Coturnix japonica: one gene and its partners. The protein of the gene in region 3 interacts with the protein of the main gene of each other region in a pairwise test. Links are inferred from orthologs where the notes say so. Each region holds a gene or a part of one and is shown on either strand. Other genes may lie near its edges. The genes, in order: PRRC2B, DHX30 and YTHDF1.

Region 1 (5,226 bases), on a different chromosome or scaffold from region 3:
CTGGAAAGCACTCTCTAAATCACTCATGAGCACAGCAAGGAGCAACACAAAGTCCTGGGCCAGGGGAACTCTGGAGGTGCAGGCTGTGCTGGGAGAACACTGCCAACTCCATACATTGCTTTTACTACAGCAGGATCACAGCCATCACCAGAAGCAACATTGTGCTCAGATGCAGAGCACTAACACGGTAGTAAAACTTGAATCTCATGAAAGCACTCCTAAATAATTGGCCATAAAGTTTTGGTTGCTAGGTGGGAGCTCAATTCTTGGGTTATTTAAGAAGATAAAACCATACTCTGTACTATTTCAACCATTAAGAAACATTTCTTGAGCATGCCCCTACTCCCCTGCCGGCTTTGCAGCCCACTCCAAACTCTGAACAAGAGCACACAAGGCTTTTGTACAGGGCTCCCAGCCCACACACAGGTAGGAACAGCTGAAGAACCCACCCCACTGCAGAACGCTTCCAAAAAAATACCACTATATTCCCACACAAAAAGTGCCTGTGGGAGGTGAAGTCCCAACACGAGCTCCTCAAACCTGCTTGGCTCAATGCAGCACCATTAACAGCAAGTGTGGTGTCTAAAACATCTAAACAGCAACCCAGGAAGGACTCTTCCACTAAACCCCTTCCAATAGGATGCCATCTGTGTGAACACCGCATTCTGCTCCTCTTTGTGCCACTCACCTGAACTTCAAAGGCTATCAAGGATGCTCCCAGCACCTAACCCAAGCCCTCTGTGCATTTCAAGTACTGCACTGCAATAGCATAGTCTTTTTGGCCATATCCAAGCATACCATTAAGCAAGCCCTCAGTTGCTTGCCCTTGTGTTTCCTTTTTAAGCCTCCATACTTTAGTCTGGCCTCCTCTTTCACTTTTGCCTATTCCAAATCCTGCCATTACTTCTTCCACTGCAACCAAAAGTGCTTCCAATAGTCCTCCATAAATTAACACCTACGGTCCCTTTAGATGGTTGGACTCCATGATCTTGGAATGCGTTTTCCAATCTAGATTCTAATTCAGAAAGATGCAACAGAGAGCTCTCATCCCTTCCAGCTCAATGTAGGTGCTCAGTACCAGGCACTGAACACATACTGTGACCCCATTCAGAATGGGGCACACACCTCTTAACACCCCCAAACATCCCCCTGTCCTCACAGAGCCCACAGCACATCAAGCTTCCATACAAACCAAATGCCAGACAAGGAGCGCTGCAGTGCTACCACACCAGCTTCCAGCCCACCTGAGTTACAGCTCCAGTGCTTCCAAAGAAGAACACAAAGCACACAGGATTCACAGCTACACAGTTCCTAGCAGGTTTGTTCTCCTCTCTGTTAACAAGGAGAGAACTGCTTGTCCCCCAGCTTTTACCTGTTTGCAGCGCTTTCACCTCAATGCCTGATGATACCCGACTGCATTTCTTCTGTTCCAAGTGACAAACTAGTGATAAGGAGCTGAGAAATTATCGACCTATTAGGAGAATGAGTCAGTGCCACATGAAAAACAAAACCCACTTACAAGGTATGAATAGCAAGGAAAGCAAGAGTGATACTGAAACATCACAATCGTTGCCAGCTTGCAGAACACGGGAGGAACACAGTGAAGAAAAGGGAGGCTCAAACAAAACACAACGCCATTCCTTCCTTTAAGAGGCTGTTGGAGTAAATGAGCCTTTGAAGTTAGGCGCTACAGAAAGCTTTAATAGAGGGTTTTATTACAATGTCTCCGTAGAAGTTAAAACCTTCTATTAGGAACCTTTAGAAACATTAGTCAAGATTTATTAAAACCAAGACGTTTTTAAATCCTGCCTCTATTTCCCTGCATTTGGATGGGCTGCTTCCTTACTGTTCCCACTTCAGCTTGGGAAACTCCATCCGAAGTATGTGGTGAGCACCATATAATGCAGTTTCCAAGAGGTCAGATGGGAGAGGTGTTGTTTATCGTGCCCCCAAAATAGATTCTGCTAGCTAGGAAGAACCTCTTCCACCACAGCCCTGAGAGAAAGAGCATCACCCATAGACCCACAAGGATCTGAAGGATCCTGGGTGAACTCCTGATGGAACTGAGGCACACTTACTGTATTTCAATTCAGGTGAAAAACATGGGCAGGTATCTCAACAAGGTAAGTGCTAAGACAAGACAAAGCATTCCACATAAGCCTTGATTCAGTCCTGGAACAAGTGGGATTTCTTCCTTCTGGACTTATTGCAGCTGATGATGCAAAACTGCAACCTGCTTGCACTCACCACCCATTTCTAGAAACAGAATTTCTCAGGTCCTGAGCATTTCTTTATCACGTTATCATCCCCAATACCACTGACAAAGACATGAATGTTCAACAAGCCCACCCCGATCAGACCATCCGAGCCCTTCTGACGTTCACAGGACAAAAACAACAACAAGAAACCCGCAGAGCAAATCAAAGCAACTTTCCTAAGGAGACCCACAACTCCCAGACCTGGTCAGGTTTGATTCCACAGACGAAGAGGTTTGTCGGTATTGATACAAAAAGCGCATATTACGCTTGCTCACATCCACAGCTGCTGAACAAACCCTGCACGGCTCTGAACGCACCCAGGGCCCATCTCAGAGCCACCCCACAGCAGCCACGCTCCAAGAACCCAAAGCACCTTTACAAACCCACCCACAACTCCCCGAGCACCAGCACCAACTCTCTCATTCCAAACCCCCCATCCCCCCTTCTCACCAAGCAACATTTCAGCTCTCCCAATAACCCTTTCACAGTCTCCCGCACCACAACAAAACAACCCAGAGCCTTCTGATTGCCCCCCCATCGCAGCCTCCCCCTCCTTGTTTTGTCGAGACGAACACAACAGCGCGACGAAAATATCTTTGTGTCACACCCGATGAACCAAACCAGCCGCCATCCTCACGGCCTCCCCCCAGCTCGGGCAGCCCCCAGCCCCGCGGCCTAAGCAGCCCCACGGCCCGGCCAGGCCCCGCAGCCTCACAGCGGGGGCGGCTCGAGGACAATGAAGCGGCTCCAGGCCCGGGGTGCCGCAGCCGCTGGGCCCCGGCTCCATTTTAACGCTGCCTCGTCCCACCTTCCCTCACCCTCCCCTCCCTCCTCCTCCTTCTCCTCCACCCCCCCCGTTCCCACTCACCGCCCCGAACATCCACGGCCGCCGCCGCCTCCGGCCCCCGATACCCACCTGCGGGGGTGGCTGGGAGCCGGGAGCGCCTGAGGAGCCGGGTATGGAGCAGTGATGGACGCGGGGCGAGGCGGATGGCGGCGGATTGCGCGGGGGGATGCGGGGCGATACGGGTTCTCGCTGCCGCTCCCTCCTCTCCCTCCTCCTCCTCCCCCGGCCCGGCCTGTCAATCCCGCGCGGGGGGAACCCGCCGCCTCCCTCCTCACAGCGCCGCCTGCAGAGCTCCGCCGGAACGGCGGCTGAGGGCCGAGCCAAGATGGCGGAGGAGGAGGGGAGAAAGGAGCCGAGCGTCCGCCTCAGCGGAGCGAGACGGGAACAAGCGGCCTCGTGAGGCCAACGGTCCCACCTCAGCCTTGAGGGCAGCGCAGTGTGAGCAGCATCCCTGGTTTGCTCTGAAAATGCTGTAGGAGTCGTCATGAAACACAGTTCTCTGTTCAAGGCATCTTAAACCTTGTGAGTTGTCATCTCAGGTTCCATTTCTCCCTTTATTTCTCCATCCCTGTCCTCTAACACTCTTCTAACACCTGAACCTCCCCCGGTTATATTCATCTCTCCCTATTGCATGCTCTGATGCACCAGCTGTGGATTTACAGCTGCTAAATACAGGTGCTTCACCTCAAAGCTGACACTAATGTCTCAAACCTCTCCTCAGTTTGAGCCATCTTGGAGATATCTTGGACAACCAAGCCTGCAAATATCATGAAGGAATACTGGATCACCCCCTTAAATACGTGTTATACACATGTGTGTGTGGGTATATCAATATATATATGGAATAAACACCTGGGCTCTTGCCCAGAGGAACTGACTTATTCCAAGTTCACCCTTTGATCCAGTGTGCTGATCATGAGAGATGTCAGATCTCAAACACACTGAGAGTGATACAGAGGGAAGAAATGCAGGAACCATTTTCAGGACCATATGTGTTGTTCCTACGGTTCATCTGCACAGCTACTGAAGTTGCCAGGAGCTGAGCTACCCAGAGATGCACCAGACTCATTGCCTGGCTGTTGGATCCCCTCTATCTCTCTATATCAAAATATCTCACTGCTTTGGCATCTCTTCCCACCTTCCCCATCACATATTGGGGTTATCAATACCCTCTACCTTCTCTCCTTACAGAGGAGCTCACCTTTCTCCCTGCTCTACTGACCTCCCACTGCACAGTATTGATGAGCCATAACAACAAACACCCAACAGCATTATTAGTTGCCCTTCAGAGGCTGGGCACTGTGGGATCCCCTTGCTTTCAGTGACTCATGCAGCCACCTACAACCCAAGCCACTGGCAGGTGACTCACAGACTTGTCCAGGTCAGCGCTATGCACACCTGCTGCTGTAATAAGCAGTTCTCCCAAGGTCTCTGGTGTATCTCCAAGGCAACGATCCAAGGCCAAGGGAATTGATGTGCCAATTAAAGAAAACGCTCGTGCAACCTGTTGTGGAGATCAAAAGGACGCAGTAAGCAAATGAAAGACAATTCCACATTCATTATCATGTGTGTACGCTGCGGCTCCTGCAAACTGATGGCTTCTCCAGCATGCTGAGGCAGCTCCATGGAGCTTTGTCCAGTCTTATGGCACAGGACTGCACTGGGAATGGGCTTCTTTGTATAATCTAAACAGTGAAAAGCCACCACCTGTTCCCATCACAGAAAAGAGTGTCACCAACACAGCTTGGTTTGTGGGGAGGCCACAAAAGCCTTGTCATGAAGTGACAAATTCCTGTGCCATTCTAGAAGTGTCCCGCGGCGCTTTTCACCTGCCCGTGTATAAATCAGAACTGGTTTCACTGGTGGAATTAGACCCACGGCAGATGGCAGTGAGTAGGGTGAGGTAGAAATCAGCAAACAGGTTTTGCCAGGTTGAAGCTCAGTGCACAGCTCTGTGCAGGATCCGTTCTGCTGCCCACTCTGATTTCTGACCTCTTCCAGAGAGCTGAGTGAATTTCCCCCAGACATGAGAGTCAAATTCAACCCCCTGCTTCCTCTTCCCAAGATTAATTACAACTGAATGCAGGAACCCTGCTGTGTGCTTCATTCTTCCACTAATTA
Region 2 (4,750 bases), on a different chromosome or scaffold from region 3:
CTTGCTGATGACATGATGAACCTGAGCAAGGAGTCCGGCGCGATCAGCGACGCGATCACGGGGAAGACATACATCCCTATGCTGGAAGCAGAGGAGGTGCGCCTCAGTCAGAACCTGCTGGCCCTCTGGAAAAGGAGAGGATCCTCATGGCAGGAGAGCCACCCGCTGCCGGTGGATCCTCACAAGGACACCATCCTGTCAGCCATTGAGCAGAACCCTGTGGTTGTGATAGCAGGAGATACGGGCTGTGGGAAAACCACAAGGATCCCTCAGCTCCTGCTGGAACATTACATCCTGGAGGGCCGCGGCGCCCGCTGCAACGTCGTCATCACCCAGCCCAGGAGGATCAGCGCCATCTCAGTGGCCCAGCGTGTGGCACAGGAGTTGGGTCCCAACATGAGGAAGAACGTGGGCTACCAGGTGCGGCTGGAGAGCAAACCCCCTGCCCGGGGAGGAGCCCTGCTCTTCTGCACCGTGGGCATCCTGCTGCGCAAGCTGCAGGGAAACCCCAGTCTGGAGGGTGTCAGCCACGTCGTGGTCGATGAGGTCCACGAGCGAGATGTCAACACGGATTTCCTGCTCATCCTGCTCAAAGGCATCCAGAAGCTCAACCCCGACCTGCGCCTGGTCTTGATGAGCGCCACAGGAGACAATCAGCGTTTCTCACATTACTTTGGGGATTGCCCTGTGGTCAAAGTGCCGGGCTTCATGTACCCAGTGAAGGAGTACTACCTGGAGGAGATCCTGGCCAAGCTGGGTAGGCACCGACACCGGCACTATGAAATAAAGGTGGGTGTGCAGTGTGGTGTTGAAGCTGTTCCCACTGGACAAGGGACTGGCTTCTGGCGTATCAGCAGGGGGAGAGTTTGGGCCTGGATCTGGTCCCTCTTTCCTGTTGTCCGTTAGCAGTGTTTGCTTAGCTTTCATTCCAAGTCAACACCCATGAGCTAAATTTGGCTTAGCATCCCTTGTGTTTTAGTTAAGTTTTGGGTAAAGACAGCTTCATATTTGGGTTTAAGTTGCATTTTTCCCCTCTTCAGCATGAAGTGTATTTATGTTTGAGTAAGCTAACAGCTCAGTGTGCTTACGTATATGCAGCATGCAAGTCTAGTGCAAGATTCAGATGGCTCAGACGTGCCTTGGAGCAGCCTTGTTATCCGGGCACTCGTCGTCTTGCATGACTTGATTCCTCCATGGCCACCTTTTGCAATTAGTCTGACTGCTCTATGTTATTATTTTGGAGAGTGCTTCCAGATGTGTGCTGTGGGTAATCTCACTTCAGTGGCAGGTCGTGGAATCACAGAATGGTTGAGGTTGGAAGACCTGCAGGTTCATCTAGGCCAGCCCCCCTGCTCAGAGCATGGTCAGCCCAAGCAGGCTGCTCAGGAGAAGCTTTTGAGTATCTCCAAGGGCAGAGACTTTGCAGCTTCTCCAGTATTCAGTCTCTCCTGAGTAAAGATGGATTTTTCTATGCTTAAACAGAATTTTCTGCATCTTATTTGTGGCTGTTGTCTCTTGCCCTGTCAGTGGGCGCTGCCAAGAAGAGCCTGGCTCCCTCTTCTTCATTCCCCCTCACTGAATAATTATATGGGTTAAGGTACCTCTCAGACCCTTCATCATCCTCAAGGCCCTTCCCTCTTCTCTCTGTGGTAGCTCCATGGCTCTGCTTCCTGGCCTTTCTTCTTTCTGAACCACGGGAGGTTTCTGGCCACCTGTAGAAGTTCCTCTGTGTCTGAACAGCCATTTGGTGTATCAGCCACATCTCCTACCTTTGTGTCATCAGCAGATTTGCTGAGGGTGCCCTGTTGCATTCAGGGCCACCTTCCTGTTTCTGTTGTGGCTGGTTTTTTTTACCTTTTAGGCTGGCCTGACACACTTGTTCCAAATTACTGAGGCATAAAAGCTGCTGTTCTGTGTCTGGTGGGTTTGAAGGCTTAGGGCACACGTGGCACAGTTCTGGCCCCTGAAATTTCATCTAAGTTTTGCTACTTCATTAGAGGTTCCCAAGGGTCAGATAGCTTCCAGGTCTGGAGAGCAGGATAGAGGCTGCATCTTCACAGCACAGCAGAGGAAGCTGGCAGCAGCTGTGACTGGAGCACGGGACAGATGGAGCCAGACCAGACTCCTGAGGTTCCTGGTCCTGGGGAGGCCATCCAGCTACAGGCAATTGCTCTCTCCAGAAGATGCTTTGTGAGTTTGTGCACCTTTCTAACCAGATCGCTGCTTATTCCTCTGCACGTGTCCTCCTGGAATCACAGAGTATCCAGAATTGGAAGAACCCACATTGATGTTCAGTCTAAATCCTGTCTCCACACTGGGCAGCCCAAGATTTGGACTGTAGATGTGAGAGTGTTGTCCAAATGCTTCTTGAACTCCTTATAAATGTGGGGCTGTGACCACTTCCCTGGGCAGCCTGTCCCAGTGCCCAACCACCTTTTCGGTGGAGAATTCTTTTCTGATATCCATCCTGATCCTTGCCTGACACAGCTGGGAGTCATTCCCTTGCATCCTGCCCACCAAGTGTCAGCAGCTCCTTCTCTGCTCCCCATCATGAGGAAGCTGCAGACAGCAGTGAGGTCATCCCTCATATTAATATCCCTCATATTAAGCTTATTGTTAAGCAGAACCCTTCAGTCCCTTTTGTGGGGCTGCAATCCAGCCACTTGTCCCCAGCCTCTGTGTATATCCAGGATTACACCATCCCTGCTGCAGAATTTGTTGTTTGCTCTTAGTTAATTTCATGTGGTTGGTGGTTGCCCAGCACTCTACCAAGACTGCTGTGCGAGGCATCTCTACCCTCAAGGGAATCAGTGGCTCTTCCCAGTTCAATATCATCCAGAAATGTACACAGTGCACTCAGCTCTTGTGTCCAAGTCATTGATTGAAGTAGTGAAGAGAACTGGCCCTAAAATTGAGCCTGTAGAACCTGGCTGCTGGCCGCGGGCCTGATGTTGCCGCATGCCCTAGAACCCTTTGAGCCTGGCCCATCAGCCCATCCTCACCATCATGTCTGTGTGTGTCTGGCTGCGTGCCGGACATTTTGTCTAGAAGGATACTGTGGGATTATCAGAAGCTTTGCTGGAATCCCCATAGCCCAAACCCAGTGGGTGAAAAGGCAGTGGAGCCTTGTCATAAAAGGACATCAAGCTAGTAAGGCATGGCTGGTCTGCTGTGAACCCGTGTTGGTCTTGACTAATGGTATCTTGCAAGTATTTTATCACCAGCTCCTAGAACAGTCTTCAGAAGTTGACCAGGTACTGATTACCACCATCATCTTTCTTGCCCTTCTTGAAGATTAGAATAACATAAGCTTTCAATTGACCAGAATTGAGCAGATTCCTGTGGCTGTCAGCAGATAACTGAGAGGGGTCTTTCAGGACCCTGGGATGAATCCCATTGGAGTCCATAGACTAGGGTGCATTCAGCTGCAGCAGTAAATCGAGTCAGCTGGGAGCTTATCACTCCCAGGTTGTGGTGCTCCAACCCATGGTTGGTGTTAAGGTGGAGGCGAAGAAGCCATTAAATGTCTGCTTTGCTTTCACCCCTGCTTGATGGCCAACGTTATCAAGTAAAAACCAACCAAACAAAAAATCTACCACTTCTTTTTTATCGTCCATCTCAACGTGTCAGCTTCAGTTCTGAGTTTGGCCATGTGAATTTCTCCTTGGGAAGGCAGAGGGCGTCTCTGCAGTCCTGTATAGCCCTGACCTACCAAGCTCATACGCTTTGCTTTTCTGCCTGAGTTCTAGGAGGAGCTCCCTCTTCAGCCACGCTGCCTTCTGCTTCCTTGCTTGGCTTCTGACATGCTGGAATTGCCTGTTCCTGCACTCTTAAAAGATGGATTTGCAAATGTCACCACCAATGGTAGACCCCCACCCCCATTACTAACCAGTTCCTCGAGCAGCCTGCAGTCTGCTCTCCTAGAATCCAGGGTTAGTAGCTCTGCTGCCAGTCTTCTCCATATCTCAGCTCAGCCATCGCATGATGACAAAGAGCAGAGCTAGGATGGCACTCCTCCTGCCAGCTCCCATAGTACCTGTATCAAAACGTTACCTTGCTGTGCTTACTGTTTTATCTAGCAATCAGATGATGAATGTGTCCTTGATCTTGATCTGATCACCGACCTTGTACTCCAGATTGACGCCCATGGAGAACCAGGTAGGTTCTGCTTTGCCCTCCTCCCCTTTACTTTTTCGGGAGGGGGGAAAACAAAAAGTGGTATTTACAGAACCCAGACCCCTGGCATAGGAAATCCTGTGCTGAGTTCTGCAGGACCACCCTGATCTCCTGCCTCAGCCAGGGGAAGTGAGCAGTGCTCAGAGCGGTTGCTCAGGTTTATCTCTGGAGTCCAGAAGGGTATCTGGAAGCAGGGTTGGATGCAGGTTCCTGTGCTGGTGTGTCTCAGTCGTTGTGTCCTGAGGTACAGCTGTTGCTGGGCTCAAGTGCTGGACTGGTTTGTGCACCAGCCTGTGCTGCACTGTTTGTTTCCAATCCTGTGCTGGAGAACCATCCCCACTAAGTGCCGTTCCCTGGGAGGTGTTGGTGTGATGAAGGAGGCTGTATTCTAAGATGACTTTTAAGCGCTTTCATGTTTCAAAGCTGACAGAAGCTATTCACTCCTAGAGTGCAGCTGGCCTTGTCTGTTTAAAACCCTTTTTGGTTTTAAACTCTGCCCCATGAGTTCAGAGCTGGGTGCAGCACAGCAGGTATGTGCTGTGCAGAGGAGCGTGTCCTTGGGACAGTCTGCCCT
Region 3 (5,397 bases):
TTTGACTGGCACTATGCCAGAGCATGTAAGAGAAACCCTGTCGAGATCCTTCACCACAGCAGCAGTCACATTCATTTCAACAGATTTATCCTTGACCATTTCCTAGTTATTTCTTTTTAAACAACCATTGTATAAATTAGGGAAGGAATCATTTCTCCAAGTATTATAAAATCAGAGTCCTATTTAATGCTACTGTCACTTTCCAATTAGAACTATTAAGATCACCTACAGAGTTATCTCTTGCAGCACACCAACTTCTTGTTGCAGCAGCAGCAAAGAGTCAATGGAGTTATGCTTTCATGTATGTAGGTACCTACATCTTTCTTTTAAGCACACAGAGGTTCTTCTTGCCAGCAAGTTCAGCAACGTCACCAACACTGACAGTGGCATCTATCAGCTTCAGGCTGAACTGCACTTTTAAAACAAATAATAGATGAACCTCTGCCAAGGCTTTAAAGTTTCTAAACATTTCATTCACTTTAAAAAGATTGAAAGTTAAGTCAGAAACTACTTCAGTTAGAAGATTTTTATGACTACAGTGGTATTTAAGTCCTGGATGGTCACTTAACGTACAGTATAATGAACTGTTTTATTCAGAATTTGCATTACAGGGTGTTCGTTACCTTTAAAACAGTATGTTTTTCAGACCTGAGATATTTCAGAGGATGGAAGAGCAATATTTGTTGAAGTGAGAAAAGCAAGCGGGACATCTGCCATTTCTTCTTAAAAGCAATATCCAAATTTCAACAATATTAACCCCTAGGATTACTGAAAAGATGAACTGTGAGACCCCAAAATCAGCAACTCCAGACTCCCACGTGCAACTCATCTATCAAAGAACTGCAAGATCAAGTAGGTTGTCACAGTCCAACCCTATCAATAACCTGCAACATGAGGAGCAATCAGTAGGCACTACTTGGAGCATTAATGTAGTTTTCACTGGTTGCTATCTGGATACACAGGGTAATATTAGCTTTGGGAGCACAAGGCTAGTTGTATTATTAAGTAACACAATACGCTACTCATTTCTTTTTCCATGCCTATAAGGAATTTGCTTCCACAACACAATCCTATGGAGCTGGGTGCCAAAAGCATGCTTAAGATAAAGAAAATAAAGTGAAAAACACACCAACCTGATTTGACTGCCCAGAAAGGTAAGGCTCAAAATCGTTGTCGTGAACTGTATCCTTTTGATGTAATGAACCATTTTGTACTACGAAAAAAAAAGTTACAAGACATTATGATACGGCTTAGGAGTGTTTCAGTAGAGTTCCACTTTATGGCACTTTAGGTAAAGCCACACTTCTTCACAGCATGAAGCATCTTAAAGCCATACAGATCACTTTTGTCCCCTGATTTTACTTTGTATAACTGCTTACAGAACTGAGTTTGTGTTTAAAAATCAAGCTTTCCTACAAACGAGTGAATACACAACCTCTGTGAATCATCTCTGAGCCAAAAAATACAGGAGTTCTGTATAAGCAATAAATTAGGAAACATCAGATGTTTGGGTCCATAATTAGAACTCTCAGAAACTAATTCACAGCTCTCCCAGCATGTGGTGTTTATTGCCTAAGTTAAGTTAGCTACAGGAAGATCAGGTGGGCTTACATTTAATTATAAACAATGACTGCTATGTGCATCGATATTCTGCCATTTTTAATCCAAATTTCAATCTTTAAAGCCTGTAAGAGAGATATTTCTCTCACCCAAATGCCTACTTACCCATTACTTAATGCTATACAAAAGCAAAATGTATTGGGTTACACCAAATGATTTCATGTGTCACTTTAAATGCTAAGGAAAGAAGCTCAAACACCACATTACGTGAGGAGAAAATTTAGCTACTGTTCCATCAAACAGGTGAAGTAAAGCCACACAAGACTTAAGTGTTTAGCATGGAAGTTTGGGAACTTGTAACTCTGGAAAGATTGTTAATGGAAGCAAAAAAGAGTACACCAATATTGAAAACAGGGCCAAACTTCTTGTGAGCAGAGATTTTTAAGGCAGGTTATGATAAATGGGAAAGCATTTGAGTAGAAGATACTGCTAGTCTCTAAAGCTGAACATTTATACAATGACATAGTGATCATAGAATCGGTTTCTTGAATGATTTGCTGAAATCAGAAATCAGATGGAGCACGGATATTGACATAAAAAGTTTATTATCTCAAGCAGTTAATTATTTAAGGAATTTTAAATAAATATAATTAAGTTCATAGGCTCATTTCTCACAGATCGTAACTGTAGAGCCAACAGCAGTACAGTCATGGAACTGTATTTGTATAGCAGGAAACGACTATGCAAACTACGTACAAATACTCATACACTGAACAGATACCCTCATAGTTTTTTGTTATTCCAAAGGAAATGAGGAGACTATAAGCACGCTGGGCATGATCTCACATTTCTTCCCACTGTAAACTCCATAGCAATAAGTGGGATGAACTCAAGACCGTGTAAATAACAGTTTATACATCTCTGAAACAAAGCACAACTTCCTTTGTTCCACACGTTGCCCACAGGGGCTGCTAAACCCACAGGTACCTGCAGAGCTCATCTCCTGCAGGGGCTGCTTCAACAGCAAGATCTCAGCGTGATACTCACCTTTATTATCCTGTCCTTTCGGTCTCTGGAAAATCCACAGCACACGATCGGGTGCAGGAAAAAAAAACCAACACAAACAAACAGAAAGAAGGGAAACAAAGAAACTGATGTTAGGAAAACGTTCACATCGACACACATCTCATGGGGAGGGATGGGGGGGATCTCATAGGAAACAGCTGTAAGGCAATGGGAGCTGTCTGAGCTCTCGAGGAGCAGCTTTCAAGGCCCATCCAGCCCCATAAACACCCCACACGGCCATAGCAGCTCGCTGTGCCCTCAGGCGAAGGTACTGAGAGCGATCCAGGCCTGAACTCGCCCAGATCAGCAGGGCCAGCCCCGGCCCAGCACCACTTACCTGAGGGTCAACGCTTGTGGCAGACATAATTCATGTACAGGGCCGCCGTGGTTCAGCAGACAGGCCGGGAGGGAGGCGGCGGCGCCTCAGTGCACAGGGCCGGGGAAGGGAATGGGCCGAGGGGGAGGGGAAAGGGGCCCGCACGGCGCAGCTCGGCTTCTCCTCAAGGGGGATCCGGGGGACGATAGGCCGGCACCGAGTCTCGTGTCTCGCCGTGCCCTGCCAGCCCCGTCCCTTCACATGCCTCCGGGCCGGGCCGATGTGAGGGACGGAGCCCGAACCGCCAACTCCAATGGCGGCGGGCGGCCGGCTGAGGTGACGTCAGGGCCTGAGCGCGGGGCACGCCGGGAGAGCGGGGAAGGCGCGCGGAGCGGGGCCGCACCTGTGGCGCATGCGCAAAGTGGTGGGGCGGGAGGGAGAGGCGGGATGGGCTCCATGTCGGTATTACAGAATCACAGTCACACAGAATGAGTCGGGTTGGAAGGGACCTCAAGGATCATGTAGTTCCAACCCCCCTGCCTGGCAGGGCCACCAAACATACACCTTTACTACATCAGGTTGCCCAGGGCCCCGTCCAACCTGGCCTTGAACACCTCCAAGGACGGGGCATCCACAACCTCCCTGGGCAGCCTGTTCCAGGGCCTAACCACTCTCCTAGTGAAGAACTTCCCCCTAACATCCAACCTAAATCTTCCCTCTTTTAACTTCAAACCATTTCCCCGTGTCCTGCTATTGTCAGCCCTTTCCAAGAGTTTCCTCCCCTCCTGGGTGTAAGTTCCCTTCAGGTATTGAAAGGCTGCTATGAGGTCACCCCGCAACTGTTTATAGGACGGGGATGTCCTTAATTTGGCCAAAAGCCTGTTTTGTGTGTGTTTGTTTCCTTGTGACTGTCAAAATGCCTGCAGTGATTTAGTTCTGCAGTGATTTAGTTTGGTGTCTCCGTTGCCTTCAAACGTACTTTTTGTGTAGGTTTCATGATGTGAATGTACCACTTACAGTTGCCAGATACACACGATATAAGCACATCTGAGATGGAAGAGAAAAAAAAAAACATGGATCAGAATGAGATCCTCCATATGTATAATGTGTAAAGTAGGTAAATCTGTGCTCCCAAGAATCCCTGCATGCACCAGAAAGGCCATTTAAGGACATTGCTTCAGTAACGAGTGTGAAAAAGCAAACAGCATGGCATGAGAGTGGAACATCTGTAAGAAGGAAGGAAGAAAAGGATAGACCTGGATGCTTCTGAGCACTGCTTTGAAGGGTATGTGACTGTATATGTTCACTAGGCTTGATATAGAAACTGTATGACTATGAATCATCTTAGCCATGAATATATGTAGGCAGCATGTGAGTACTGTGTTTCAACATCCCAAGGTACAGTGAACTAAAGCTGTTAGACTCTACCTATTATTTTAGATTAAAAGACAAAGTATGTCAGGTGTATGTATATGCCTACATCCATGTTTGTGGGTTATGTGAATATTTATATATAGAATTTACTTTTGCATTAAGAAAATGTGAGTTGCTTCTTCCTGGTAACTTTAAGAACATTTGTCATGCTGTCTCCAGCTATACTTTAACCCTTGCATTTACTGATTACTTTCATTCCAAATCAGCCTGATACTAGCAAAGATAAATATTAGTAGCATACAACACATTATTGAATACGCCCTTGGAGCAAAGCAAACATGGAACTGTGTCTCCAGTCACCATCACCCCATGGTCTTTCCCTAGAAGCAATGTAGTCACAAAGGCTAAGCAACTCATTACACCTCTACCACAACACTGCAGTGCATCAGTACCACCTTCCATGTGCCACAGTCAGATTTTTTAAGCCTACTGTAACAGCTTCCCTGACTCTTCTGCCTTCGGACTGCTAACACCCAGGTGTGGTCATGAAGAAGGCAGATTGAGGAGCCTCCCATGTTGCCAACACTTCCCGAGGTCACATTTAGAAGAAGGTTGGTTAGAAGCAGTAGAAGGCCAGCTCATAGCTTGTAAAATACCTCCTGGAAACAGGTAATGATTCTTACCTGTGGACAGGTGATTTGCAACAACCCATTAATAGAGCCCTCACACAACCTTTGTCAGAGGGATTTGGTACATTCTGTACTTTACATTTTGACAGTGTATTCTTCAAGAACAGGACACGTGGAGCAGGAGAGAATGTGCAATTACATGTAAATTCATTACGGACAAATTAAAGAGAACCAGTTCCACGTGTTCCAGTTCTGTAACTTTTGTATCTAAGTACTGCCCCCTACTGCTCAAGGGGTTTTCATTAACACCTATGTGATTTTTAAACGTTTCATCTCCTTTAGTTAAAAGAAAGAAGCTGTATTAAGATGTCTATACATTTGCCATAGAGGTAATATTTGTCTGCTTAAAGACTCCATTACAGATTCCAAAGGGGTTTTAATAGACATCAGCAT

What was found.
Region 1: the proteins of YTHDF1 (region 3) and PRRC2B interact in a two-hybrid assay, tested with the Homo sapiens proteins (2 studies listed by BioGRID, with this or other methods). The link is inferred for Coturnix japonica from reciprocal best matches to the Homo sapiens genes YTHDF1 and PRRC2B.
Region 2: the proteins of YTHDF1 (region 3) and DHX30 interact in a two-hybrid assay, tested with the Homo sapiens proteins (2 studies listed by BioGRID, with this or other methods). The link is inferred for Coturnix japonica from reciprocal best matches to the Homo sapiens genes YTHDF1 and DHX30.

Annotation. Positions count from the first base shown.
Region 1 is NC_029532.1:4,747,582-4,752,807, reverse strand, and holds the start of PRRC2B (protein PRRC2B), read right to left. Parts: upstream 3,309-5,226; 5' UTR 3,175-3,308; exon of another isoform or gene 3,127-3,174; intron 1-3,126.
Region 2 is NC_029517.1:677,050-681,799, reverse strand, and holds part of DHX30 (ATP-dependent RNA helicase DHX30), read left to right. Parts: coding exon 1-789; intron 790-4,079; coding exon 4,080-4,158; intron 4,159-4,750.
Region 3 is NC_029535.1:7,815,332-7,820,728, forward strand, and holds the start of YTHDF1 (YTH domain-containing family protein 1), read right to left. Parts: upstream 3,304-5,397; 5' UTR 2,990-3,303; coding exon 2,963-2,989; intron 2,633-2,962; coding exon 2,608-2,632; intron 1,214-2,607; coding exon 1,134-1,213; intron 1-1,133.